Linked DNA regions of Ovis aries. The main gene of each other region encodes a partner of the protein of the gene in region 6 in a complex. Links are inferred from orthologs where the notes say so. Each region holds a gene or a part of one and is shown on either strand. Other genes may lie near its edges. The genes, in order: TAF1C, POLR2F, TAF1B, UBTF, POLR1C, RRN3 and TAF1A.

Region 1 (4,283 bases), on a different chromosome or scaffold from region 6:
CCATCACGCTCTCACGTATTACATTATAATTACACAGTCCTACCTAGACGACAAGCCCCACACTCTAGGTTACACTCTAAAGACAAACTCAAGTTCCCCAAAGCCAGAGATGAGTTATTATTTGTCTGCCTTCCCACTGTCAAGTACAGTACCTTCCAACAAAAAGGAACCAACTGTGTGTTGAATAATAATGTTTATGTCAAAGGGCTTTGGTGACTGCAGCCATGAAATTCAAAGATCTCTGCTCCTTGGAAAGGGACACCATGACAAACCTAGACAGTGTATTAAAAAGCAGAGACACTTTGCCAACAAAGGTCCATATAGTCAAAATTTGTTTCTTTTCAGTAGTCATATATGGATGTGAGAGTTGGACCAAAAAGAAGCCTGAGCACTGAAGAACTGATGCTTTCAAACTGTGGTGTGGGAGAAGATTCTTCAGAGTCCCTTGGACTGCAGGTAGATCAGCCAGTCAATCCTAAAGGAAATCAACCCTGAATATTCACTGGAAGGACTGAAGCTTAAGCTCCAATACTTTGGCCATCTGATGCGAAGAGCCGCCTCATTGGAAAAGACTAAAACTGGGAAAGATTGAAGGCAGAAGGAGAAGAGGGTGGCAGAGAATGAGATGGTTAGATAGCATCACTGACTCAGTGGACGTGAACTTGAGCAAACTCCAAGAAATAGTGACAGACGGGGAAGTCTGGTGTGCTGCAGTCTGTGGGGGTCACAAAGAGTGTGAACAACAACAAAATACAAAGTGCTCAACAAGAATAAGCAGCTGGAATATCCTTTAATACACGCAAAAATAAGAGCAGTTCTCACTTACTGAGTGCCAGCATCTGCCTGACATGGTACTACAAGTTTTATTCTCCTGCCCCTCATATGGAGGTCAGGAAACAGGCTGGGAAAGAGCAACTTGCCCAAGGCCAATAGCGTGATCCTCCAGCGGCTCCAAAACCCCAGTTCTAAACCACAACTCTCTCTGCATCCAGAAGCGAGCACCAGCCTCAGAGCCTGATGATGCAAAACCTTTCCTCTTAGAGCTACCACTGCATGTATCCATTTATTTTGTAACCTCTATACCTCCAGGTACTCTGAGCACCTTGCAAAGTGCTCACCACACAGTAAATGTTGGTAGATGGTAAAGAATCTCCCTGCAATGCAGAAGATTGAGGTTTGATTCTTGGGTAGGGAAGATCCCCTGGAGAAGGGAATGGCAACCCTCTGCGGTATTCTTGCCTGGAGAATTCCATGGACAGAGGAGCCTGGAAGGTTACAGTCCATGGGGTCACAAAGAGTCGGACACAACTAAGTGACTAGCACTTTCACTTTTCAAACGAGGAACTTCCCCTGTGGTCCAGTGTCTAAGACACCTCACTCCCAATGCAGAGGGCCCAGGTTCGACTCCTGGTCGCAGAACTAGATCCCATATGCTGCAACTAAGAGTTCGAATGCCACAACTAAAGATTCTGAGTGCCACAACTAAGACCCAGTGCAGTCATGTAAATAAATAAATAATAAAAAAACTTGTCAAAAGAATGTGTTTCTCAGGGCACGAGTCAGCCTCATTCTAATTGTGGCTTATATGCTTTATCTCTTCCTCGGGACTGCTCTCTGGGACAGGAACTGTATCAGATTCATTTCTGACCTCCTGGCATCTGATTGTTGTTGTCTTTCTCCTTCATCACAGGAGAGGACAGTGGTGGGAATGCGTCTTTTCACCAGAGGACCTTTTCACACTCTCTCTCCACTAAAAATGAACACCATTGTCCTTCCTACCCACCTAAAAAATCTGCCCCCATCCTTCAGATTTTGAGTCAGGAAGCCTCTCCTGGTTCTCCCAGCCCTGTCCCACATCACCCTGCATCCCTCCTCTGGAGCACGCATTGCGATGTGTGATAAGATATTTAAAGCTAAAGCTATGTGATTCCAAACTGCTCTGAGAGTCCGCATGGGGAAGGGACTTTATCCCCGGTGCCTGCCTTATTTACTACGTGATGGATAGGAAAGCCTGGAGCACTGCATGCAGTCCATGGGCTCGCAAAGAGTCGGACACGACTGAGCAACTGAAATGAACTGAAATCAGTACGTAAAAGCTGAAGGCACAAATCCAAGAATGAGGAACTTGACAGTCTCAAACAAACGCAGGGAGGCTGAGGGAGCTGGTGGAGCCCACGACCTCAGAGAACCCCCGAGACAAGACAGCCTCGATTTCCCGCCCTCATCTCTCCCGGACTCGAATTTAGACCTCCGGAGTTTCGTCGGGTCTGCACGAACGCCGGGTGCGGCAATAGGTGCGCCTGCCCGGGGATGGGAGAGGGGATCCGGGAGGCCCTTCCCTTTAGACCTCTACTCGCCCACGTCCTCCCCATCCGTCTCCTCCCTCTCCACGTCGAGGCCCCAGAATTTCAACCCAAGAACAGCAGGCATCTCGCACCAAGCGCTGTATGCCAGACAGTTGTTGCTACGACGCTTTACAACGGCGTGATGCTCCCCGTTCCATGAGCCAGCGGCTGCTCACCACCAACTCTGCAAAGGTTGGGCGACTCGTCCCAAAGCCACACAGTTTGGAGCCTGTGGATGCGAGCACGGGGACCCGCCCCTCCGTCCCGTCGGGGCGGCGCGCGCACTTACGTAATCCCGTCGCGCCGTGCTCGTCGGGGAAACCGACCTCCGCGTGACGCTCGCTTGACCCTCGTGCCACGAGGGAGCCCCAAGGCAGAACCCTAGCTCTTGAGCCCGCAACCCGACAGCTCCACAGAAGCGATGAACCGCCTCCCCCGGCTGGGCCGGAAATGCTTCATGGAAGGCAGGAAGTCCCGCCTCCCAGCCCGGCCTAAGGGGCGCTCCAGAGCGCCACCTCCCGGGCGGAGGGAGAATGCGAGTGCAGATGGCGCCGTGGGCACTGGAAATTAAGTAAAAGTGAAAGTGAAAGTGAAGTCGCTCAGCCGTGTCCGATTCTTTGCGACCCCATGGACTGAAGCCCGCCAGGCTCCTCTGTCCATGGGATTCTCCAGGCGAGACTACTGGAGTGGGTTGCCATGCTCTCCTCCAGGGGATCTTCCTGACCCAGGGATCGTACCTGCGTCTTTTCCAACTCCTGCATTGCAGGCAGATTCTTTACCGTGAGCCACCAGGGAAGTCCTCAGAATTGTCTTTCTTGAGGTCAATCCTTGAACCGTTTGGGAGACTGAATCTACCTTGCTCCATATCTGCTCTTCCAAGTCAAATGTTAACAGGTGCTACCAACTGTTTCTCTACGCCTTAGCGTCCACATTGCCCCCGTCCTGGCTCGTGTTGTCAGATCCGAAGGTAGCAAGCAGCAGCAGCAGCAGCAACAGCAACACAACTTACAGACCATAAACTCAGTAACTGGTCACATTTTCCCGGTCACTGGCTCCTCAAGACTGTTAAAATTTTCATCTCCTTCAAGCAACCGTGCTGCATGATAGCAAGCCACATGTAAATTGTCTTCATCCTCAACTTTATTTTTGTTATTTCTCCTTCATCGCTAGACCCTCATTTTTAAGAATTGCTATCTTGACATGTTTTTACGAACCAACACAGATTCACTTCTGAGGAAAAAAAAAAAAAAAAGCGGGGGTGGGGTGGGGAGGGCAGGATATCAAATGACTAATTTTAGCTAGAGCCCACGTGGAACACTTACAGTTGGCTTCAGGAAGGCTTAAGGTGAACAGATTTTAAATGTAGGCCCTAAAGACTCTGTGAGGCTGCTACAAATGAAAACACCATCACTTACAGAATGAGCACCTCCCATCCTCCTCTAGGCTCAGCTGCTTAAGCAGCTGGGGAGGGCAGGCTGGCAAAATGGGGAGTGCAGGGCATCCTTGGACGGCAGCAGGGGTGAGGTGCTGAACTTGGGTCCCCAGACTCCTCCCCTGGTCTTTGTTTCCCGAATACCACACAAACAAGCGCAGAGAAGAAGATGATAGGACGGTCTTGTCCTCCACCCTCACCTTACACCCGGAGCCCCGCCCTTGAAATAAGGAGGTTGGCCAGGTGGCCACTTAGTCCACATCCAGGCTCAAGCTGCCTGGGAGACTAGCCTTCCCATTGGCTGGGCATACTGTCCTGCTACAGTTTTATGGGCTCTCATTGGCTACGAGTGAGGCGGGAGGCGGAGCTCACCATGCGCGGACGGTTGTACCACGTGCTCCCCACGTGGGCGCTCGCTCTGGCGTGTAAAAAGGCGCAGGTGGCGCCAGAACGTGCCTGCTGTTCCCTCCCGCCCTCGAGTCCAGCCATGGCTTCACAGGCCAGCA
Region 2 (3,090 bases), on a different chromosome or scaffold from region 6:
TCAGCCCTTGCTCCAGCTGCTGACTTGGCCAGCGGGGCTCTCTCGGGGAGGGCAGATCACTGCGTCCCCAAGCTTCCTGCTGGGGGCACTGGCTCCTGAAAGGGGATCCCAGCCCACGATAAGAGGCTCGAGGCAGGTCCTCAGGAGAACAATGGGTGGCTTGATGAGACCTGCTCTGTGATACTCCTGAGAAGGGAGAAGCCCCTGCAGCCAGTCCACACTGGAAAGGAAATTGGGGGTTTCCGTGGCAACCAGCTTCCTGGGCACAAAGGCGCGTCTGTCTGCTAGGAAGGCAGCCGAGGTGTCTCCTGCAGCAGCCTCTGCTCTGGTGGACTGTGAGATGGAGGGGGGCACGCAGGGGAGCCCAGGGGGTCAGGGCTCTGGTGCTTCTTAAAGAGCTGATGGTCCCAGGGCCACTGGGATGCGCACAGCCTCCAGGCAGCAGGATGGTAACAGTGAAGACGCAGGTGGGCCTCACAGGCAGCGGGAGGCAGAAGGGGTTGAAAGGTTGAAGAATTTACTATTTACACGTATAAAGACTATAAAAAGACTATGAGATGAGCCACGGGCGGAGGCCCAGTCCAGAGGCTGACTCCAGCTCAGTCGGTGATGATGAGCTCGTCGACGCCCCAGTCTTCGTAGCTCCCGTCGGGCAGGTAGCGGCGAATGATGATGGGGATCTTCCGGGCCCTGTGACCGGGGGAAATCGAGGTACATGGGTGCTGACCCTGGCTTTGCAGCAGAGGGACAGCAGGCGCAGAAGGCAAGGGAGGAGAAGCCTTAGGAGCATCCTCTTGAGACCACGGATGTACTTCGTAGGTGAGGAATTTCAGCAAAAAAAAAAGAAAAGTCCCTGCTTCTCTGAGTGTGGGACCAAAATCTACAAAGGGCCTGCCATCCCACAGCGAAGGGCGAGGCAGAAAGCAGAGGGATGTTGGTAAGGCCAACTGCAGCAGGAAAAAGGGACGATGGGACAGACAGGGACGGTCCATGTCTCGTCAATGTCCTCCCCTCCCCCTTGGCCCGTCCCCTCCTCCCCGGTGAAGGGCTGACTCCCAAACTAAGGGTCTACAGGAACAAGACCACACGTCCCCAGCAGGGAAGTGCGGGAAGGCGCGCAGCAGAGCACCCAAGGGATGCCCCCAGGGCTCTGGAGCCACAAACCAGGATCTGGGTGACTTACTTGAGCTCCTTCATGGCGATCAGTAAAGGATCTGTCTCCCCCTCCAGCTCCACCATCACAGGGGCGCACATCCTGCAGGTGTAAGGACAGGTGTGGGGAGATCACACACACAGGGAGAAGGCCCAGCATGAAGCTGGGCAGTTTCACAAACAGGATCGGATCAGCGCCCCAGAGCTCACCTAGAAAGGGCCCCAAGAAAGGGCACCTCCCAAAAGCGGCAGGTGCGGAGCAGCGGTCCAGGGCTGCCGACAGTGAGGGTACTTGAGTGGCAGCCAGTAGACTAGGCTTAAACTGGGCCTGAAAGACCCTGAATGTCTCTCCAAATCTCAGCATCCTCATTTGAAAATGAAGACAAAAAGCCCTGCCACGCCTACACAACAATAATGCTAAAACGCTGCTGGCTACAAGCAAAGCCTCACTAGGCGCCATAGCTGCTCTCCACCCACCACGTGGATGTCTCATTTGTAGTAAGCACTACTGCTACTTCCGTTTTACTGAGGAGGAAACTGAGGCACAGGGAGGTCAGTAATTTCCTCAAGGTCACACAGCCAGTGAGTGGTAGAACCAAGATTTGAACCCTGAAGACTCCTCTCTACTATTCTGTAACACCTCCCATTAAAAAACTGGTGATCCACAAACTGAAGCCAGGTACTGTGAAAGGGACAAGTGTGAGCTGTCATTACTGGGTCGTGTGACACTCATCACGTCCACTACCCTGGCCAAGGACCTTCCCCAGGGCCTGTCACAGACTCCTGAGCCCACGGCCACAGCAGAATATTCCCACACAAAGGACCCACATGTGCAAGAGCTCACCCTCTGATCACTCTACTCAACCCCCAGCCCTGCCTCAGGGCCTAGCTCGCCTCGTCTTCCTTCTCTGTCTTGGCAACACCCCCTGCAGGGGTCCTGCTCCTCTAGCCCCTACACAAGGCCTGTGGTCAGGCTCTCCCCTGCTTACCTCTCTTCCTTGATACCCCATGGCCAACAGGCAGGCAGGACCTCCTCTGGCCCCCACTCACCTCTGCAGTACTTTCTCATGCTACCTGCCTCTATTCACCCTACATTCCAGCCACATCAAACCACTATAGCTTCTTATGCAGGCCCTGTTGTTTCCCTTCTGCATCCTCACACGACTGCTTCCTCTTCTTACAGGCCTGAGAGAGGCTCAGAGGTCTCCACCCTGGAAAGCACGCGCTGAAGCCTCAGGGCCCTGACTCATCTCACACACACTTCTCTCAACACCACTGTCACTAAACTGTGACTTCCCGTTTGAAGTTTTCCAAACAAGACCTGGTGGTCCAGGACCCCAAGTTCTATTCTAGTGCAACACCTGGCCCACAGCAGAGGGTCTAAAAGCAGACAAACCAGTTCCAGGCCCATCTCCTCTAGGAAGTCACCCTTATTGATTCCAACTCAAGTTTACACTAATGGACCCCAAACCTGATAGGAGAGCGTGCTAAAAATACAGGTTCCCAGGTCCTTCCCCAGACCCGCTGAACAGATTCTCTAGTGAAGGAGCCTGAGAACCTATATTAGCAAAGCTCCCCTGGTGATTCAGATAACCAGCCAGTCTGAGAGCCACCAGTTTACACTAAATGATCTACTAATTTTATTGCTAAATATTCTGATGTCTGTTACTCCCCAAAGCCTGAAAATTCCCCAGGGGCAGAAACCAAGTATTTAACTTTCTCTATATCTTCTCTCAATAATTATTTAAACTTCCCCCAACATTTAAGAATGTGGCAAACTGCTTTCCCTGACATGCATATGCCTTATTTCTTTCAAGATATGAATAATTCAAGAGCAGTCATTCATCCAGCCCTGCTACATTCACAGGAAATGTGAGAGTGTGCCCTCAATGTCTCCACCAGGGTTTCCAAGTGGCAACCTTCCTTGGGAAGCAGCCA
Region 3 (3,500 bases), on a different chromosome or scaffold from region 6:
GCAGTATCTCTCTGTATATTATAGTGGTTTTAATTCTACTTCTTACTCTCAGGAAGAGTTAGGTGAGAAATACTATTAAGTTATACACACTGGTCAGAAAACACTACCACCATCGTTTCTGTCCAATAGCAACTATGTGAGCTAGATACTTGCCATAACCCAGCCCAAGCCAGTTATATTTTGGTAATTCCTTGCATTCTTTCCATATCTTAGTGTTCTTCATTATGAGCTTACGATTTTGGAGTATATAATAGAACAGAGGAACCCGCCATATTTTGAAAGAACCACTCCAAAAGTAACTCAAAAAACCAAAATCCAAAACAATAAACTGATATATGTAACATGCCAAAGTGCAGAAATCAGACTTCCCAAATTCTGGAATCTTAATCAAAGAGCCAGTGACTTCTAAAGTTACAGCAACATTCCTTAGCTTAATAAATGATACCTTTGAGAAGCTTATTTTTTCCTCTTTAAAAAATATTTTATAAGACTTAGATTTATATTTGTATACATGTTACTCCAATTTATGTTTATTTTTATAGCTAAAATTATATCATACATGCAGTTTTATATATATTTTTTTCATATAACATGTCTTTTCCTTTCCTATTAAAAATATATTCAATCACATTTTTTTATACTGCATAAGCAATAATATAGTCATGCCATGTTTGTATTTTCTGTTAAGAATAGAAACCCTGCAGTTCTCACATTTCTAGTTTAGCAAGAAATTCAGGAGTAGATTCCATCGGCGAATTCCGCTGGGGTGACCTGTGTCTTGGTGTATTGTGAAGAAGGGTAGTGAGGCTGCCTTTGCATCCTACCAGACCTTCATCTCCATTTGTTTCAGGGACTGGAAATAGCAATGTTACTAAATAATAAAAATATCACTGTAGATTAACTTCTGGGATTTTAAAAATTGGAATTCTTTATTTAATAATCATGCTTCATGCAAATGAAGGAGTGCTGCCCTTTTTTGGTAGAGGTTCCTAAGTAATTAATAATACATACTGAATCATGTGTTACTTGTATTCAGCAAAAATTTACTGTAAAAACCAAACATTATCTTTCAAGCTTATCCCTCCCATCCAAAACAGAACTCATTACTTCTGAAAGTGTCCTTTTAACCATTTTAAATGGTCCAAAACATTTTAAGAAAGAATTTTGAAGTTAAGCTTCATGTTACTGTAGACCCTGTCAGGTGACTCTAATAGTCTCTGATTGAGAGGATTCAATACATTTTTCATAATAATTCAATAAGTCAAGGCTTACTCATAATATATACCTCACACTTACCAGGGAGATTGACCTCCATCAAGTATTTCATACACAAGATGTTTGGATGAAGATAGCAGTTTTCAGTTATGTCTGGAAAACGCGGCAAATCTAAGAATGTGGCAACTTCAATTATTTTTTTAAAGATAACTTCATAGTTAGGCCAAGACTGGAATGAAAGAGATAGTCAAAGTAGCAATTTCTGCAACATAAATTATTTTAAAAACTACTTCCTGATTTTAAAAATAACATGTATTCACTGAATAAAACTTGGAGTATAGATTAAAAACATTAAGGAGAAACACCCATAAACCCCAAATATCCTCACTGAGCTGTTTTAAACAGTAATAGTGATAAATTAAAAAGCCACTAAAATTCTATCTGGCTCTAACAATTCTTACTGGCCTTAATGATATAGTGAAGCCATTACTTCTTGCCAATCATAGAAGAATCTGGGATAAAGCTGCAATCCTACTGGAATTATGATGTCATCATAATCCCGGCAAAGCAGGACTTTCTGCTCGCCTTCCCTAACCAGCACCCTCTTGCCAACCTTCAAATTCACAGCTAACAGATTCAGTTCAGTGTTACATAATATTCACATGCTTCTATGTTGGAGATGACACCAGGGCTTAAGTCTAATAGTTAAAAATGTGGGATTCAGCTTTCTATTTTCTCACATTAGCCTCTAAGAAAGAGTATCTTACAGAATTCAGGAAAATGTATGAGCCAATATTAATAAATTAATTCTGTTCATTTTACAGGCACCCTTGTAGTTAATTTGGTATGCTATTTATATTTTTGCAATTTCCAAACATTCTTCTCATTGATACTACATATAATTTTTCCTCATTTACTTATCCATTCACATAAAAATATTAAATTTAGAGTCTATTCTATGTAAGATACTTCAGGAAATATAAAGATGAATAAAGTGATCTCTTCAAGGAATATATACTCTAGAAAAGGAGGTCAGTATTCAAAAATAACTATAGGATAAGATAGCTGTTAAGTGCTACAACCAAGATTTTTTTTTTAAGATCTATGGAATTTCAGAAAGACTAACATTCTGACATGGTTGGACCTCATTAAAATTAGGCTAGAATACAAACATTCTGGAAACCTGTTTGGCAATATTTATTACAGTTGACTGGAGGTATAGAGTTAGATTACTCTCAGGGTGCAGGTGATCATGACTGGAAGTTGGGACTGGATGGAGCTTCTGGGGTACAGAGATCATTGTTTCTTGATCTAGAGGGCTGGTTCAGGTAATGAAAGTTCATCAGGTTGGGTACATTTGTGATATGTTCACTTTTCTGTATGCATGTCTAGCTTAAAAAAACATGGTAAGAGAGAAACTTCAGTAAACTATTTTGTGTAACAATCACTTCATACATCACGCTACAGGAGAAATCATCCAACCAGCAAATTCAGAGTTGGCAAGACCTTTAAAGGTATCTGGTCTAAATTTGCAAAACCCCTAGCAGGTGTATGTCTAGCTCTTTTAAATCCCCAGTGATGGGAACTCAATACCTTTCCTGAAGGTAGTCTATTCAATTTGTAATGCATTTAATCATTACAAAGTTTTTCCTTATTCTAAGTAAAAATCTGTTTCCCAACAATTTGTACCAATAATATTGCTCTGTCATGTCTTGCCCATTTTCTATATATGTGAAGGTGTGTGGGAACCAAGTGAAGGGACAAATATGTCTCTGTTCAATGTTACTTTGGTACATTCAGCTTACATGCAATTATAAAGCACAAGGGAATACATTATAATGGTACTGGCTCAGATGGTACAGCATCTGCCTGCAATGCTGGAGACCTGGGTTCGATCCATCCTTGGGAGAAGGAAATGCCAACTCACTCCAGTACTCTTGCCTGGAAAATCCCATGAACAGAAGAGCCTGGTGAGCCATAGTCCACAGGGTCGCAAAGAGTCGGACATGACTGAGCGACTTACTTACAGAAAACAAACTGTAAATTTCCAGAATTTATAACTATGTCCAATTTTACTTTGCTTGAGGTTACAACCTTCTTTGTATTGTATTTATTTTGATACTGGTATTTCAGATCTAAACTTTTCATTCCTTATGATTATACAGTGGAAGTGAGAAATAGATTTAAGGGACTAGATCTGATAGATAGAGTGCCTGATGAACTATGGACAGAGGTTCGTGACACTGTACAGGAGACAGGGATCAAGACCATCCCTATGGAAAAGA
Region 4 (4,125 bases), on a different chromosome or scaffold from region 6:
ACTCGCCCCGGGTCTCCAGGCGTCCACCGCACCCACGGCTCGCTCCCCGCCGCCTGGCCCCGGCCCCGACCCGGCGCGCGTCCTCAGCCGCCTCGGTTACCCGGCGCAGCGCGGCCTCCGGGCTTCCCGCTCCGGCGGCTCCCTCCCCGGCTCTGATCGGCGGCGCCCTCCCCCGCTCGGCCGGGCACAGCCGCAGCTCCCTCCCGCGGCGGCAGCGGCTCCTCCTCCGGGCGCGGCGGCGGCGGCGCTGGGGCGGCGGCTGCTGCTGTGGCGGCGGCGGCTGCGGCTGTGGCTGCTGCCTGCTGCTCCTCGCGGCGAAAAGCACAAAGCACAGCGCCCTCCGCCTGCAGGCAGCCCGCCCGCCGCCCGCCCGCCGGCCCCGGCCTCAGCTCGCACACCCCCCGCCGCCGCCGCAGCCTCCGCCGCCGGAGCGGGGAGGAGGAGGGAGAAGGGAGGAGGAGGAGCGGGAGGGGGGGCGGGAGAAGCGGGGCAGCGAGCGCGTCCTTCCCCGTAGAGCGCACACCGACCCCCGGGGAGCGAGCGCCAGCCCGCCCGCCTCGCCGGCTCCGCTCCCTCCCACAGCCTGCCCGGGCGGGCTCCGCGGGGGGCAGCTGGGAGGAGGGGCGGGAGCTGGGGGGACCCGGGCGGCCGAGGCGGAGGGAAGGAAGGAGGGGAGGGGGGTAGTGCTGGTGGTGGTGGTGGTGGTGGCGGCGGCGGCGGCTGCTGCTGCCGCCGGGGAGGGGGGGGGGGGGTCGGGGCAGGGAGACACGCAGCCGCCCGGATGGCGGCGGGGCTCGGAGCCGAGGCGGGCGGGCGCCGAGAGCGACCTCGCCAGACCCGCGGGGGAACTAGCAGGCTCGGCCGGCGCAGGAGGGAGGGCGCGAGGCGCGACCGCAGAGAGGGTGCCGGAGGGCCCCCCGGCAGCTGGAGAGGCTCCGGGGGTGTTTGCAGCCCAGCTCCAGAGCTCTCTCCCCCAGCTCAGATTCGGGCTTCCACTCCAGCCCTCACCCGCTCACTCGCCCGCCTCCCGGAGCGGGCATTTCGCGCCCACCCTTATCCCCGGAGCGTAGCCACCGGCTTGGGGCGCACGCAAGCCAATCGCCGTGCCAGGCTTCGGAGCCTGCCTCGCTGCTAAGCAGCACACACACGAAACTTGAAAAAAAAAAAAATCCCTAAAAAATGTCCTCTTTGCAAATTAAAACAGAAAAAAAAAATCTTCTTTGCTCTTTAAATCCCACAAGCGGCGATAAAGCTACGAGTCGGCGGAGGAGCCTCTGTGGGAGCTGGTTCAATCCAGCCCGGCATGGCTCCCCAGGCCTGCCCGGGCGCATGGAGATCGGCGCCGCCGCCACTCGTAGAAACCCCTCTCCCCCGAAATCCGCGGCGCCGGGGCTCACTTACCGAGCGTGTGAATGGGAGCACGGGCCAAGGGCGCCTTAAGGGTGCGGCGGGCCGAAGAGCTGAGCCGCAGCTCCGCCGCAGCCGACGCCGGGGCAGCAAGCCGCCAGACAAAGCCCGAGATGGCGAAGCGGAGCGACGGCTAATGGCGAGCCCCACGCGCCGCGCTCCGCCCGCCCCGCTCCGCCCGCCCGCCCGCCCGCCTCGGCGCAGCGCAGCGCCGCTCCGAGCGCTAGCCCGTCAGAGCCGCCTCGGCGCCGCCGCCTCCCGGGCCACCCCGGCCTCGCCTGGCCCCTCCGCCTCCTCCGGGCGACTCAGCCTCACCCCTTCCCTCCCACCGTGCTGGGGGCTGCACGAAAATAAAAAAAAAGAAAAGGAAAAATGCTTTTCTTTTTTTTTCCTCCTTTTGGCAGGGCGGGCGTGTTGAGACTTTCGAGTCTTTTTGCCCCCAGCTCGCACTCACCTGCGGAGCCGCCGGGAGGGCTGGGGGTGGGGGCGCGTGGGGCTGGAGCCGGCGAGCGCGGGTTGAAAGCTAGCCAAGCTCTGCAGCGCCCGACCCGGGCGTATACGCCGCCGCCAGTCCCCGCAGAGAAATCGTCCTCCTACCCCCGCCTCCATCGCTCTGCGTTTCTCTTCCAATCAGCCGATCGCTTGGCGGCTCCTCCATTCTCCGGCCAAGCCTGCTGCCTAGAGCGAGCTCCACTCCTCCATCTGCTCGCCCGGCTCCTCGCTCCCCTGCCGGGGCCGGCGAGGCGACGTTGGGCCGGAGGGGGATTTGCGAGGGAACCTGCCGGCTTCCCGCTCCCATTGCTCCCTCCCCGCTGCCTCCTGCTTCTCTCCTGCGTCTTTCCAACTCTCCCCTGTCGCCACTGGTGTGTGTCTGAGTGTATGCGCGGGTTTCTTTCTTTTTTTTTTTTTTTTTTTATTGCTCTTTGCTTTTGCAACCCTGGAGCCAAAGCAGGGTGGGGGGGAGAGAAAAGGGGGGGAAGGGTGTTACCAAAAAAAAAAAAAAAAAGCAAGCAAGAAAAGCTCTTAGGTTTGCAACACATTGGAAAACCGGGGGAGTGCCCCGCCTCGTCCGTTCTCGGTGCCCCGCGAGGGCCTTCCGGGTTTTAGAGCGAACCTCTCGCTATTCTCAATGCCCCTCACCTCCTCCGAGTTTAGGATCCGAGGAGTCCGAGCAAAGAGTTCTCCCCTTGGGCCATAGTAAAGGGGTGTCAGGGTGAGAGTTGGGGGCATTTTTCAAGAAGCAGCAACCATCCGTCCCACCCCTGCTTCGGTAGCTGGGCCGCGGGAGTCGGTTGAGAGCAAAAATCCCGGTGGGTTTAGGCGAAGGGGATTCCGGGGCGAAGCGGAGCCGCGAGACCGCGCTTCGCGCATCTCCCCTTCGGTCTCTGCCTCCAGTCTCCAGCCTGCTCCCCCTTTAATTTCCAAACCCCCCCCCCCCTCCTTTAATCTAATTTCTTCCAACTCCACCTTTGTTGTTAACCGGCGTCACGCCCGGACCAGCCAATCCCCGGCACGCTATCAGCTTGTCAAAAAGGCTTGGCCAGCCCTGGGAAAGCAGGCCGCGGGCTCTGCTCCCCCTGCCCCTCCTCCCCCCGGCGGCGGCGGGGAGCCGCGAGGGGAGCCTGGCACCCCGGCCTCGCCGCCAGAGCCCCAGCGGGGCAGCCTTCCCGTAGGCCTCCGCTCTCCACCATCCTGCGGGCCGGAGATAGAAAGGCCTAGGCGCGACCACCATCTACCCTCCCACTGCCGTCGGCTGCGGTTGTCTGTCTCTGCCTCTCCTCCACCGAGAAAGGTTCATCTGGACGCAGGAAGCCAGAAGACGGTCTGAAGAACGCTTGCTTCCATCAGGCGAGCCTACGGTTTGGGCCATCGCTCCGGGGCGGCGCCATCGCCCCCGGCTCTAGGGATGCCAGCCTACCACAGCGGCACTGCCAGCTGGGCCGCCGGCCCCTTTGGACTCTTCCCCTGTCACACAGCCTTCTCCATCCCCACACCACGGCCTCGCTGTTGCTGTAATTTATCTTGTCCCCTGGGAGAACTGAGAGTCCTTTCCCAGGACTTCCACAGCCCACATCTGCCACGTTTCACAAACCGGGAGGAAAATCTTGTCAAGATCTGGTGTGTCCGAATTTTTTAGTGGGTAGGCGGGGCCAATTTACCTTGATGCTAGTGAAGCTTAAGCTTCAGGGCCCTCATCGCAGGCTATCTCTTTACTTTTGATTCATCATTTGGTATTATTTTTTACTCGCCCCTCCCCCTCCCCACAAACCCAGTTCTGCCCTTGGAACTTACAGAGGGCATTTTGTGAAGGACCAAGCCATGTCACGCTGTACTTAGAACCTGCTGCTGCTGCTGCTAAGTCGCTTCAGTCGTGTCCGACTCTGCGTGACCCCACAGACGGCAGCCCACCAGGCTCCTCCGACTCTGGGATTCTCCAGGCAAGAATACTGGAGTGGGTTGCCATTTCCTTCTCCAACTTAGAACCTGCAGGGAATGACTTTCTTGTTTTGACTTCGAAACATCAAAGGGTTTGGAGTCAGAAGTCCCAGGTTTCCAGCCTCTGGGCTTTCCCACCTTAACAGTGTGAGTTTGGTTAAATGTCTTAACTTCATCTGATCCCAGTTTTCTTGTCTATAAAATTAGAATAGCAGCTGTGTGGTTACTTCAGTCCCGAGGGTCGCTCGGCAATTGCATCGGCGGCGAGTATCCTGCAGCATT
Region 5 (4,039 bases), on a different chromosome or scaffold from region 6:
TTCTATACAACCTGGTGTTTCACTCCAAGGGAAAATTAAAGGGGGGAAAGCTCTTAGTGTGGTGGCTTTAGGAGACAGATGCACAAGAGAAGCTGTTATAACCACCCATCCTCCCAATAATAAATAGACCGTCCCTAATCAAATAAGTCAAGTGGGCCTTAAGAAGCATTACTATGAGCAAGGCTAGTGGAGGTGATGGAATTCCAGTTGAACTATTTAAAAGCCTAAAAGATGATGCTGTTAAAGTACAGCACTCAATATGCCAGCAAATTTGGAAAAACTAAGCAGTGACCACAAGACTGGAAAAGGTCAGTTTTCATTCCAATCCCAAAGAAAGGCAATGCCAAACAATGTCCAAACTACTGCACAACTGCAGTCGTTTCACATGCCAGCAAAATTATGCTCAAAATTCCCCAAGCTAGGCTTCAATGGTATGTGAACCAAGAACTTCCAGATGTTCAAGCTGGATTTAGAAAAGGCAGAGGAACTAGAGGCCAAATTGCCAACATCCTCTGGATCATAGAAAAAGCAAGAGAAGTCCAGAAAAACATTTACTTCTGCTTCAATGAGTAAGCTAAAGCCTTTGACTGTGTGGATCACAACTGTGGAAAATTAAAGAGATGAGAATACCAGACCACATTGCCTGCCTCCTGAAAAACCTGTATGCAGATCCAGAAGCAACAGTCAGAACTGGAGATGGAACAATGGACTGGTTCAAAATTGGGGAAGGAGGACGTCAAGGCTGTGTATTGTCACCCTGCTTATTTAACTTATATGCAGAGTACTAGATGAAGCACAAGCTGCAGTCAAGATTGCTGGGAGAAATATCAATAACCTCAGATACGTAGGTGACACGATCCTAACGGCAGAAACCGAAGAGGAACTAAACAGCCTCTTGATGAAAGTGAAAGAGAAGAGTGAAAAAGCTGGCTTAAAACTCAACATTCAAAAAACTAAGATCATGGCATCTGAACCATCATTTCATGACAGACAAACGGGGAAAAAATGGTAACAGTGACAGACTTCATTTTCTTGGGCTCCAAAGTTACTGCAGACGGTGACTGCAGCCTTGAAAGACACTTGCTCCTTGGAAGAAAAGCTATGACAAAGCTAGACAGCACATTAAAAAGCAGAGACATCACTTTGCTGACAAAGGTCCATATAGTCACAGCTATGGTTTTTCCAGTAGCCGTGCATGGATGTGAGAGAAAGCTGAGTGCCAAAGAATTGATGCCTTCGAATTGTGGTGCTGGAGAAGACTCTTGAGAGTTCCTTAGACAACAAGGAAGATCAAATGATCAAACCAGTCAATCCTAGAAGAAATAAACCCTGAACATTCATTGAAGGACTGAGGCTGAAGCTGAAGCTCCAATACTTTGGCCACGCAATGCCAAGAGCTGACTCACTGCAAACGAGTGATGCTGGGAAAGATTGAGGGCAAGAGGAGAAGTGGGTGACAGAGGATGAGATGGTTGGATGGTATCACTGACTCAATGGACATGAGTTTGAGCAAACTCCAGGAGATACTGAACGACAGGGAAGCTTGTCGTGCTGCATTCCCTGGGGTCACAAAGTCAGACCCAACTGAGCAACTGAAGAACAACAACAAAGAAACCTGCACCCATTCAAGGAATTAAAATAATGGAGTGGGGCTAGAAAGACCCTCAGGTGGTCTCCTCACTCGTGTGGACACTCGTATTCTTCTGTGAGTGCCTGCTTTCCCTTCTCCTTAATAAATTGCTTCTTTGTTCTCTCTACACCTCAGTTTCTCTGTGTGACATTTTTTTGCACTTTGGACAGGTAGAATAAGAACCTGGACCTTTACTTTAGCATGTCCCACATCACAAGTATGGCAGGAGACAGACGGGCTCCAGCTGAGGAATTTCCTATCAGCCTCCTGTTTGCCCTCCAGAAACGAAGAGAGAACAGAAACAGAGTCAACAGTCTTTGTCTCTAGTAAATATCTTGAAGAAATAATTATAGCAAGAACAAAGCAAGGCGAAATCCCTCGTCTGAGTAAGGATTAAGGGATCTCCGCTTCCCCCTTTTTAGGATAAGGAAGATACATCACAAGTGCAGAAAGGCTACTTGGGGTCAAAAGTCAGAGGATAATTCAGGCCATAACGAGTCTTGCTCTTCCCAGAAGCCTTCACTTCCAGATCCATCTTGGCTAAGAGGTGAGTGTGCATCCCATGGGAGGGTCCTGCCCGTGTGCCTTTCTACATGTACTTCTCTTTTCAATCAACTTCGTACTTTACTCTGTACCTTCTGCCTCCTCGCCTGAATTCGTTCTTGACTAGGCAGACAAGGACTAGGGACTCTAGCCCTAACTGCTGGCTCCTGTGGTCGTAGTTAGGACTACCGGTGGGGGAAGCTACAACCCCGCTTCCAGCTACCGCCCTCTGCCCCTTGCTGCAAGCTGCCCTTTTCTGCTGCGCCTTGGAAATTACAAGGACAGCTTCTAAGGCACAGGTTGCTCATATCACAAAGTCCGATCCCACAGTTCCAGCTCCACCTACCTTCTCAAAGCGGTCCTGGTCCCAGGCATCATCGTAGCCGCAATAGTTACCGGGAAAGTCAGTGGTATGAACCTAGAGCAAAGAGAGACGAGAATGTCTGCGAAGGGGCAGCGAGGCCAAGCCCGTCCCCACTCTGACGCCAACTCATCCCTGATTCACTCTGCTCCCGAGCTGAAGGCCACAAGACTTACATTGCGAACCCCAAACTCCCCTAGAACCACGCGGGTCCTCATTTCCTCCACAGCCTGGGCCGCCGCCATCTTCAACTCCTCCACGTGACCAGAGTACCTAACTGATGCGTGCGCACTAGTCGTCCGCCTCCGTTTCTGTAGCAACGCACCTCCTAGAATCTTAAATATCGCGAGACTGTGCCTTGCCTCCGTCCACGTCCCCAGCTACCGGAAGTTGGTTTGAGCCAAACATCCGGGTTTCTCCTTTTTTTGCATTCCGACCCATAGTACCTTTCTTTCTTGTCCCTAGACCTGTCCCTTTCTCAGGCCCGCATCTCTCCCACTCCTCCTCCGCGCGCGGGACAAGCACGGGCTTCAGCGACGGGAGCCCTCGAGGGACATGGCAACTCCGGCGGCGCCGGCTGGCGGCGCCCGAAACGGGACCGGCCCGGAATGGGGAGGGTTCGAAGAAAACATCCAGGTAATGGCCCCACGGCTCCGGCTGCCCGCAGCCCCTGGGCCGGCAGCCGCCCTGAACTCTCCCTCAGAGCCTGGAAGTCTGGTCCATTTGCAACACTTTTTATCTTCTTTTGAGTCTTCGTGCACAAGAAAGGCAGTGGGGCTAGTGCTGGTCTTAAAGCTCCAGACTGGTACTCCAGCCAGGGGCCTTAGGTATCTGGGCCCAATTGCTCTTGCTTTCCACAAGTTTAGGAAAGTCAGTCGGAGACAGGCATGGCGGGAGTGGGCTTGGGGGTGGATGGGATTCACTAGCCAAAACCACACTTGGTGCGCATAGCCTTGTTTTGGGGTTGGGAGAGATGAAGGAAATGGGCACTTTGCAGCCCTTTGGGGCCTTGGTAGGGAAGGTAGGAAAAAGCCGTGTATGGAAGACAGGGACTAGGTTCCCCAGACTAGAACAGAGCACCAAACAAGCAGGGGTTCTGAGACCAAATGAGGAGAAGAGAGTGGCGTCATCTGTGGCGATTTCAAGTCCCCTAGCCCCAAACCTTGTGGTGAACGGAGAAGGACTCAACTGGACGAAGCAGAAAGGTCCTGCACTCTAGGGTCTGTTGTCTTCACAGGGTGGGGGCTCAGCAGTGATTGACATGGAGAACATGGATGATACCTCAGGCTCCAGCTTCGAGGACATGGGTGAGCTGCATCAGCGCCTGCGTGAGGAAGAAGTGGATGCTGATGCAGCTGCTGCTGAAGAAGAGGATGGGGAGTTCCTGGGGATGAAGGGCTTTAAGGGACAGCTGAGCCGGCAGGTGGCTGATCAGGTAAGCACAGTTGGCTCCCTGACAGGTGGAAAAGTATACCGAGGAGACCTCTGGTTCTGGAGTTGGTGAA
Region 6 (3,500 bases):
ATTGAGTTTAACCTTCCTACCCATGAACAGTACTCTCCTAGACTAGGACTAGGAAGCTATGAAATAGCGCAAAGAAGAGTCCTGTGTTCTTTTGCTTTGTTCTCAAAACAGAAAAACAAACTCTTCCGAGTTTTAAAATCCTGGATTAAAACTTTAGTTTGGGCTAGTTAATATCAACTGAAACAGAATTTAAAAAAATAAAGTTACATACTGTATATGCGGTTTTTAAAAATTGGAATATAATTGCTTTACAACTGTGTCCATATGAGATTTTAGTGAAGGCTTGAATTAAAGGGAAGGACACCACCTAGTGGACCAAACGCAGGACGACGTTTTCAGAGCACAGCTTCAGCTGATGGGCAGCAACGCCCTCGGCTCCTTCCACAGGTTGAGAAGGGCTTTCTATTTGACTAGAGGCACTAAGTAAAATGAGCTCCAGACAAAGAAATGGTCGATTCATGGTCCCTCTTCAACATTTCCCTCCACCCCTCATTTTTTAAGGAAAACTTGGGGCAAGAATAACAGAAGCTACGATAACGCAAATGACATACTCACCAATTTAAAGCTACAGAGGTAAAACATGAAAAACTGCACATGGCAAGAGGCATGGGTGGGCAACAGGAGCTTGTCAAAGATGGTTATGAGATCCCGATATAAATCTTTTGTTTTGTTGTTATCAATCTTACCTGTGAAGAAAATTTGGCATTTCAGTTCTATACATTATTTTCAAGCCACGAGTTTCATTTACATTTTAAAAAAGCAAACAAAACCATTAAGAAATACTTCATCCATGAAGCTAATGGGGGGTCGGGGTGGGGGCATAGGAGGCCATCTTTATCTGGCACAGAGTTTCCATTTCAATTATAAAAATCCAGGACTGGTAAGGAAGTGGGCCCTCATCTCACACACACCACTATAATTCCACACATTGGAAAAATCACCATATACAAGTTCTACTGCTAGGAATTTATCACAAGCAAACACGTGACAATATAGGTATAAGTATGTTCATTACACTATTACTTACAATGGCAAATAAAGCAGGGGGAGGAAAAAAATAAGGAACCAGTTAAACCCATATGATTAATAACTATTTTAGAAGAACCGTGAATTGTATGAGAAAATGTTCTTAAGAGGTAAAAAGGGAAGATTATAAAATACTACATATAGTGTGACTCCCCCGGAGAAGGCAATGGCACCCCACTCCAGTACTCTTGCCTGGAAAATCCCATGGACAGAGGAGCCTGGTAGGCTGCAGTCCATGCAGTCGCTAAGAGTCGGACACGACCGAGCGACTTCACTTTCACTTTTCACTGTCATGCATTGGAGAAGGAAATGGCAACCTACTCCAGTGTTCTTGCCTGGAGAATCCCAGGGACAGGGGAGCCTGGTGGGCTTCCATCTATGGGGTCGCACAGAGTCGGACACGACTGAAGCGACTTAGCAGCAGCAGCAGCAGTGTGATTCCCCAAATCCGTTGAGAAAAACATATACACCCACGCAAACAGAACAGAAAAAAATTTAAAAATGCTAATAATGGTCCTCCAAATAGGAGTGTGTGACCATAAACCGTCTTTAAAAAAAAAAATCATTTCCTGTATTTTCCAAATCTCCTCTAACCAACATGTATTACTTTTATAGCAGCAAAAAAGTTAAAGTAGTAACATACTCAACTCAGATTCAAGCCCTATTATTCTGAGTGGTTGAGTTTCATTCTTAATCTGAGAAATGCAAATAGAAAAAAAACTGCTTTTTTCAAGGCAAAGTGTCTAGACTAAAAATCTAAAAATTCCATTAAAGGCAAGAAACATATCAATTTGTCCACCAACACTTGGAACAACCAAAAGTACCCAGACTCTAAATTTCAAACATAACACCAAGTGTGTCCATGCATGCGTGCTAAGTCGCTTCAGTCATGTCTGACTCTTTGCAATCACATGGACTGTAGCCTACCAGGTTCCTCTGTCCATGGGATTCTCTAGGCAAGAATACTGGAGTAGGTTGCCATGCCTTCCTCCAGGGGATCTTCCAGACCCAGGGATCAAATCCGCATCCTCTTAACATGTCCTGCATTGGCAGACACACTCTTCACAAGCGCCACCCGAAAAGCCCCAAATATCTACTATGTGTACGTATGCTTGGTCATGTCCAACTCTTTGCAATCTCATGGACTGTAGCCCACCAGGCTCCTCTGTCCAATACTGGGGTGGGTTGCCATTTCCTTCTCCAAAATATCCACTATACCATTCTTAAATGTCTCCAGCTTGAGGTCCACTTTAAACTGTCCAAACTCCGTATATAATCTTTTAATACAGTAGGCAGTGAAAAGACCACCAAGGCCTTTGAAGACAAACACAACTGAGTCTGGGTCCCAGGCCCACTATTCTCAAGCTATGTCACGTTGGCAAACAATCTCTCTAAACTTTCTTTTCCTCATACTCAAAACAAGGGTTTTTATCGTGATTTTCTATCAGTATGCCCAGCACAGTGCATCCCAGCTGTGGCTACTGCAGGCTGTTACCGTCCACATAGCAGACGTCCTTAATGTAGGACAAGAGTAAAGACAGGAGGATGTCCAGGCGCTCAGCCATGGGATGGACCATCTGATCGAGCCTTCCCGGATCAGCCTCAGTTTTGTGGTCAGCTTCCTCATCTTCATCCTTTGAAGGTAAAGTAAAAACTGACGTTTTAAAAACTCAGTAAAAGTAGTTTAGGGAGAAAACCCTGAGGTAAACTGTTTCCTTTAAAAGATAAAGGGAAAACCCAGAAGTCTTGCCAGGCAGAGGCTGTCAACCAGAGGCATGAATCAGAATCACCCTTGGAACTCAACATGAAAGCACAGATCCAGCCTCTGACTCTCATGTAGAAGAGCCACCTACAGTGTGACCGTGCAAACATCACAGCTTTCCCCCAGTTTCTGGCACAAACTCTTGGTGCCGGGTTTCCTTTCCTGGGACGGGGCACCCACCCCCTCAGCTACTATGAGCACTGGCTGCCAGCTCACAGCTGCCCCATTCTCTGGAGAACTGCCTTGGCTCCTCCCAACCCTCCCAATCAGACCTAGTAACTGACATGAGGTCACAAGAGGCCATTCCCCCCAGTCTCAAGGTAGGACTAACTCTGTCCCGTAACTCATGCTCCAGAGCTCCTGGGGGGGATCAGGCTGCAGTGACTTCCAATCGAAACCCAACTCTCCCTTCCTTCCTCCCCCTGCCCTTCCTGCTTCCCCACACCCTGTGTCCCAAGGGCACCTGCATCCCCATCTCAGGCTCCTCCCAGTGAACCCAAGTTAAGACACAGCTCCGAGCAGAGAGGCACTGCGTGAAGGTACACAATTTGTAGAACACAGGAATCACACTGACGTGCTTTTCTACGTATCACTCCTCCACAAACAATAAGTGGTGTACAGAAACAAACTTAAGGAACAGACGGAAGAGTAAAAGGGAAACAGACTTCACCAAAACCAGATTCAAAGCCTTGGAAATGAACTCTACTAGTCA
Region 7 (3,500 bases), on a different chromosome or scaffold from region 6:
CCATTGTCTGGCTAAAAGTAGCTACTGGCGATATGGAAATGAATGGGTGTGGCAATGTTCCAACAAAACTGTATTTAGAGGTACTAGAAAAAATTAAAAAGCAAAGCGTGTCAAAACTTGATTGAGAAAGTGCTTTTAATCAAATATATATCACAGAGAGGGAGATTATCATAACATTTTGGAGGATGTCAATTCTTTTGGATAAAACTTTTATTAAAGGACACTTTAATTTGGATAAAACTCCGCCTAAACATGAGAAACAATGAAACATTTTCACACATAGATCAGAAGTTAATACTGTGAAAATGTCTGTACTACTGTGAAAATGTCCACACTACCCATAATACCCAAAGCCATCTTTGGATTCAATGTAATACCTATCAAAATACCAGTGCTATTTTTCACATAAATAGAAAACACAATCTTCAAATCTGGATGCAAAATTTTTATTATTCACATAAAAACCGTGAATAGCCAAAACAATCTTGAGAAAGAACAATGCTGCAGGCATCACACTTTCTTATTTCAATCTATATTACCAAACTATAGCATTCAAAACAGACACATCAGACAAGTGGAACAGAATTGGGAGTCCAGAAATAAGCCCATCCATATGTTGTCAACTAATATTTGACAAAGGAGCCAAGAATACTCAAAGGGCAAAGGTTAAACTCTTTAATGAATGAATGATGTTGGGGAAACTATAGATGTTTATTGCAGAAGAATGAAATTGGACCCTTAATTTACATTTTACACTCACAAAAATTAACTCAAAATGGATTAAGGACTTAAAGGTAAGATCTGAAACTAAAGCTCTCAGAAGAAAACAGAGGGGAAAAAAACCCCTTGATATTGGTCTTGGTAATGAATTCTTGGGGTATGACACCAAAAGCACAGGCAATGAAAGTGAAAATAAACAAGTGGGACTGCATCAAACTAAAAAGCCTCTGCACAACAAAGGAACCATCAACAAAATGAAAAGGCAGTCTACTGAATGGGAGAAAATATTTTCAAATCATGTATCTGATAAGAAACACCTAAAATCGATAAAGAACTCATACAGCTCAATAGCAAGAACAACAAAAAACATATTACAATTAAAAATGGGCAGGAGAGGGACTTCTCTGGTGGTCCAGTAGCTAAGACTCCGTGCTCCCAATGCAGAGGGCTGGGGCTTGATTCCCAATGCGAGGGTCAGGGAACTAGATCTCGAATGTTGCAACTAAGACCCGGTGCAGCCAAATAAATAAATATTTTTAAAAAAAAAAAAGGTTAGGGGAGGAGGTTCAAGAAAAAGGGGACATATGTATACCTATGGCTGATTCATGTTGATGTATGGCAGAAACCAACATGATATTGCAAAGCAATTATCCTCCAATTGAAAATAAATAAATAACTTAAATTTGGGCCACAATAGTGAAAGTTCTGCACCCTAACCACTGGATAGCCAAGGAATTCCCCCACTTCAAATGAGCTAGAATGGCTAGCATCAAAAAGACAAGAGAGGACTTCCCTGGCGGTACAGTGGATGGGAATCCACCCACCAATGCAGGGCACACAGGTTTGATTCCTATGTGGAATCCCATGTTTCACACGTGGAATCCCAGAAAAATTCCACATGCCACGGAGCAACTAAAGACTGCGTGCTGCAACTACTGATGCCCGTGCACCTAGAGCGGGTGCTCCGCAACAAGAGAAGCCACTGCAATGAGAAGCCCGTACCCTGCAAGGAGGAATAGCTGCCGTCCACAGCAACGAGAAAGGGCCCCCATAGCAACAAAGACCCAGCACAACCAAAAGGAAAACAAAACAAAAGACGAGGAATAACAAGTGTTGGTAAGGATGTGGAGAAAAGGGAACTGCTGTATACTGCTGGTATACATTCCCTTTGGAATGTAAAGTGGTCTAGCCACTATGGAGAATGGTGGTATGGTGGTTCCTCTAATAAATTAAAAGCTGACCTAATATACAATCCAGCAGTCCACATTGGCATATATATCCAAAGTTGAAATCACTATCTGGACGAGATGTCTGCACTTCCATGTTCACTGAAACACTATTCACAAGAGCCAAGACATGGAAGCAATCTAAGTGAGCAATGATGGATGAATGGACAAGGAAAATATTGTATACAAACATATATACAATGGTGTATTATTCAGTCACGCAAAAGAATGAGATCTTGCATGTGTGGCAACATGGATGAGCTTTGAGGACATGACGCTTAGGGAAATAAGTCACACAAAAAAAGTAATATTCTCTCATCTCACTTTCAGGTGGAATCTAAAAACATCCAACCCATAGAAACAGAGTAGAATGCTGGTTGCCATAGGCTGAGGGCTGGAATAGTCAAGGGACACAAACTTTCAATTATAAGATGAGTAAGTTTGAGGGTCTAATGTACAGCATGGTGACTATGGCATTGTTAACTTGAAAGCTGCCACAAGGGTAGAATTTGAACATTCTCAACATAGCAACAACAAAACGATATTATGTGAGGGGATGGCGATGTTAACTAACCACACTGACGTAAATATTTGGCAATATACACATGCTATCAAATTATCACATTGTATATCCTCAACGAAATTAAATCACATGTCGATTATATCGCAACAAAGCTGGAAAACTTTTCTCAAGTATTCAAATTCCCAATTTGTTTAGCTCTTTCCCTTTTCCAAAAGCACCAATTCTTAGAGAGCTCAACTGACTTAAGCAAACATATCAGAATTTGGTCCATCATCATAGTGAAGCACACAAGCCATTCTGGAGGACTGGTTCTGGCAGCCAGAGATACACAGAGAGAAGATATTTGTGCTCCCACAACGTGGTAGGCGACAGGAAACGGGGAAGTAAGTGGCTCCCTAATGCAATCTTTCTTTCAGCTTCTCTTATTGACCCAGGTGTGTTACTCCCTTCCCCATCTTTTCTACACTCTTACCTGCCTTATCACTGAGACGAGCAATTTTAAAAAACGAACGCTGCAGATGTAAATGCACAAAGCCTACATTCTCACCTTCAAGTAATTCGTGACGCCAATATTTTTCATCCGGTCGGCAAAGGTATTGAAAGTCTCCAGGTTGCTTTTGGGATGATAATAAAGAATTTCACTTCCAAGCCTCCAAATAATCTGTCAAAACAGAAGTTACTAACAAAACTGTAAAACCCCTGCCTTAACCAATGTCTCAGAAAGCTATTTTCTTCTGATTACAACATTAAAAAACAACCTATAATTCCTTTTTCTAGATACCACTACTGTCAACATTTTACTATACTTCACCCAATGAAACTATTATTACATTTTATGTGATTAAAAGCTTTTCCTGTTGATGAAAATACCAGGTGTCATTAACAATGTCATTTTGAGCCAGAAGTCTAAAGAAGGTGAGCATTTAAGATACATATTGAAGATAACATTTTTATTTATTTTTATTTTTTGGTCTCTGAGGCATTTTATTTGTATGTATTACATCCCTAGAAAAAGAATCCAAGGATTTTCC

Evidence for each region.
Region 1: RRN3 (region 6) and TAF1C share a complex: the UniProt entries of both Homo sapiens proteins name them as parts of the pol I pre-initiation complex. The link is inferred for Ovis aries from reciprocal best matches to the Homo sapiens genes RRN3 and TAF1C.
Region 2: RRN3 (region 6) and POLR2F share a complex: the UniProt entries of both Homo sapiens proteins name them as parts of the pol I pre-initiation complex. The link is inferred for Ovis aries from reciprocal best matches to the Homo sapiens genes RRN3 and POLR2F.
Region 3: RRN3 (region 6) and TAF1B share a complex: the UniProt entries of both Homo sapiens proteins name them as parts of the pol I pre-initiation complex. The link is inferred for Ovis aries from reciprocal best matches to the Homo sapiens genes RRN3 and TAF1B.
Region 4: RRN3 (region 6) and UBTF share a complex: the UniProt entries of both Homo sapiens proteins name them as parts of the pol I pre-initiation complex. The link is inferred for Ovis aries from reciprocal best matches to the Homo sapiens genes RRN3 and UBTF.
Region 5: RRN3 (region 6) and POLR1C share a complex: the UniProt entries of both Homo sapiens proteins name them as parts of the pol I pre-initiation complex. The link is inferred for Ovis aries from reciprocal best matches to the Homo sapiens genes RRN3 and POLR1C.
Region 7: RRN3 (region 6) and TAF1A share a complex: the UniProt entries of both Homo sapiens proteins name them as parts of the pol I pre-initiation complex. The link is inferred for Ovis aries from reciprocal best matches to the Homo sapiens genes RRN3 and TAF1A.

Annotation. Positions count from the first base shown.
Region 1 is NC_056067.1:10,019,641-10,023,923, forward strand, and holds the start of TAF1C (TATA box-binding protein-associated factor RNA polymerase I subunit C), read right to left. Parts: upstream 2,801-4,283; 5' UTR 2,635-2,800; intron 1-2,634. Other genes in the region: ADAD2 (adenosine deaminase domain-containing protein 2), read left to right, coding at 4,151-4,283. UniProt on the Homo sapiens protein: Component of the transcription factor SL1/TIF-IB complex, which is involved in the assembly of the PIC (pre-initiation complex) during RNA polymerase I-dependent transcription.
Region 2 is NC_056056.1:215,583,207-215,586,296, reverse strand, and holds the end of POLR2F (DNA-directed RNA polymerases I, II, and III subunit RPABC2), read right to left. Parts: intron 1,256-3,090; coding exon 1,184-1,255; intron 691-1,183; coding exon 600-690; 3' UTR 501-599; downstream 1-500. UniProt on the Homo sapiens protein: DNA-dependent RNA polymerase catalyzes the transcription of DNA into RNA using the four ribonucleoside triphosphates as substrates.
Region 3 is NC_056056.1:19,132,124-19,135,623, reverse strand, and holds part of TAF1B (TATA box-binding protein-associated factor RNA polymerase I subunit B), read right to left. Parts: intron 3,072-3,500; exon of another isoform or gene 3,054-3,071; intron 1,445-3,053; coding exon 1,297-1,444; intron 1-1,296. UniProt on the Homo sapiens protein: Component of RNA polymerase I core factor complex that acts as a GTF2B/TFIIB-like factor and plays a key role in multiple steps during transcription initiation such as pre-initiation complex (PIC) assembly and postpolymerase recruitment events in polymerase I (Pol I) transcription.
Region 4 is NC_056064.1:43,773,890-43,778,014, forward strand, and holds the start of UBTF (nucleolar transcription factor 1), read right to left. Parts: upstream 2,801-4,125; 5' UTR 2,548-2,800; intron 1,966-2,547; exon of another isoform or gene 1,862-1,965; intron 1,672-1,861; exon of another isoform or gene 1-1,671. UniProt on the Homo sapiens protein: Recognizes the ribosomal RNA gene promoter and activates transcription mediated by RNA polymerase I (Pol I) through cooperative interactions with the transcription factor SL1/TIF-IB complex.
Region 5 is NC_056073.1:17,058,249-17,062,287, reverse strand, and holds the start of POLR1C (DNA-directed RNA polymerases I and III subunit RPAC1), read right to left. Parts: upstream 2,801-4,039; 5' UTR 2,780-2,800; coding exon 2,711-2,779; intron 2,592-2,710; coding exon 2,520-2,591; intron 1-2,519. Other genes in the region: protein YIPF3, read left to right, coding at 3,090-3,170, 3,772-3,969. UniProt on the Homo sapiens protein: DNA-dependent RNA polymerase catalyzes the transcription of DNA into RNA using the four ribonucleoside triphosphates as substrates.
Region 6 is NC_056077.1:14,207,756-14,211,255, reverse strand, and holds part of RRN3 (RNA polymerase I-specific transcription initiation factor RRN3), read right to left. Parts: intron 2,661-3,500; coding exon 2,522-2,660; intron 687-2,521; coding exon 556-686; intron 1-555. UniProt on the Homo sapiens protein: Required for efficient transcription initiation by RNA polymerase I (Pol I). Required for the formation of the competent pre-initiation complex (PIC).
Region 7 is NC_056065.1:25,301,704-25,305,203, forward strand, and holds part of TAF1A (TATA box-binding protein-associated factor RNA polymerase I subunit A), read right to left. Parts: coding exon of another isoform or gene 3,475-3,500; exon of another isoform or gene 3,448-3,474; intron 3,131-3,447; coding exon 3,017-3,130; intron 1-3,016. UniProt on the Homo sapiens protein: Component of the transcription factor SL1/TIF-IB complex, which is involved in the assembly of the PIC (pre-initiation complex) during RNA polymerase I-dependent transcription.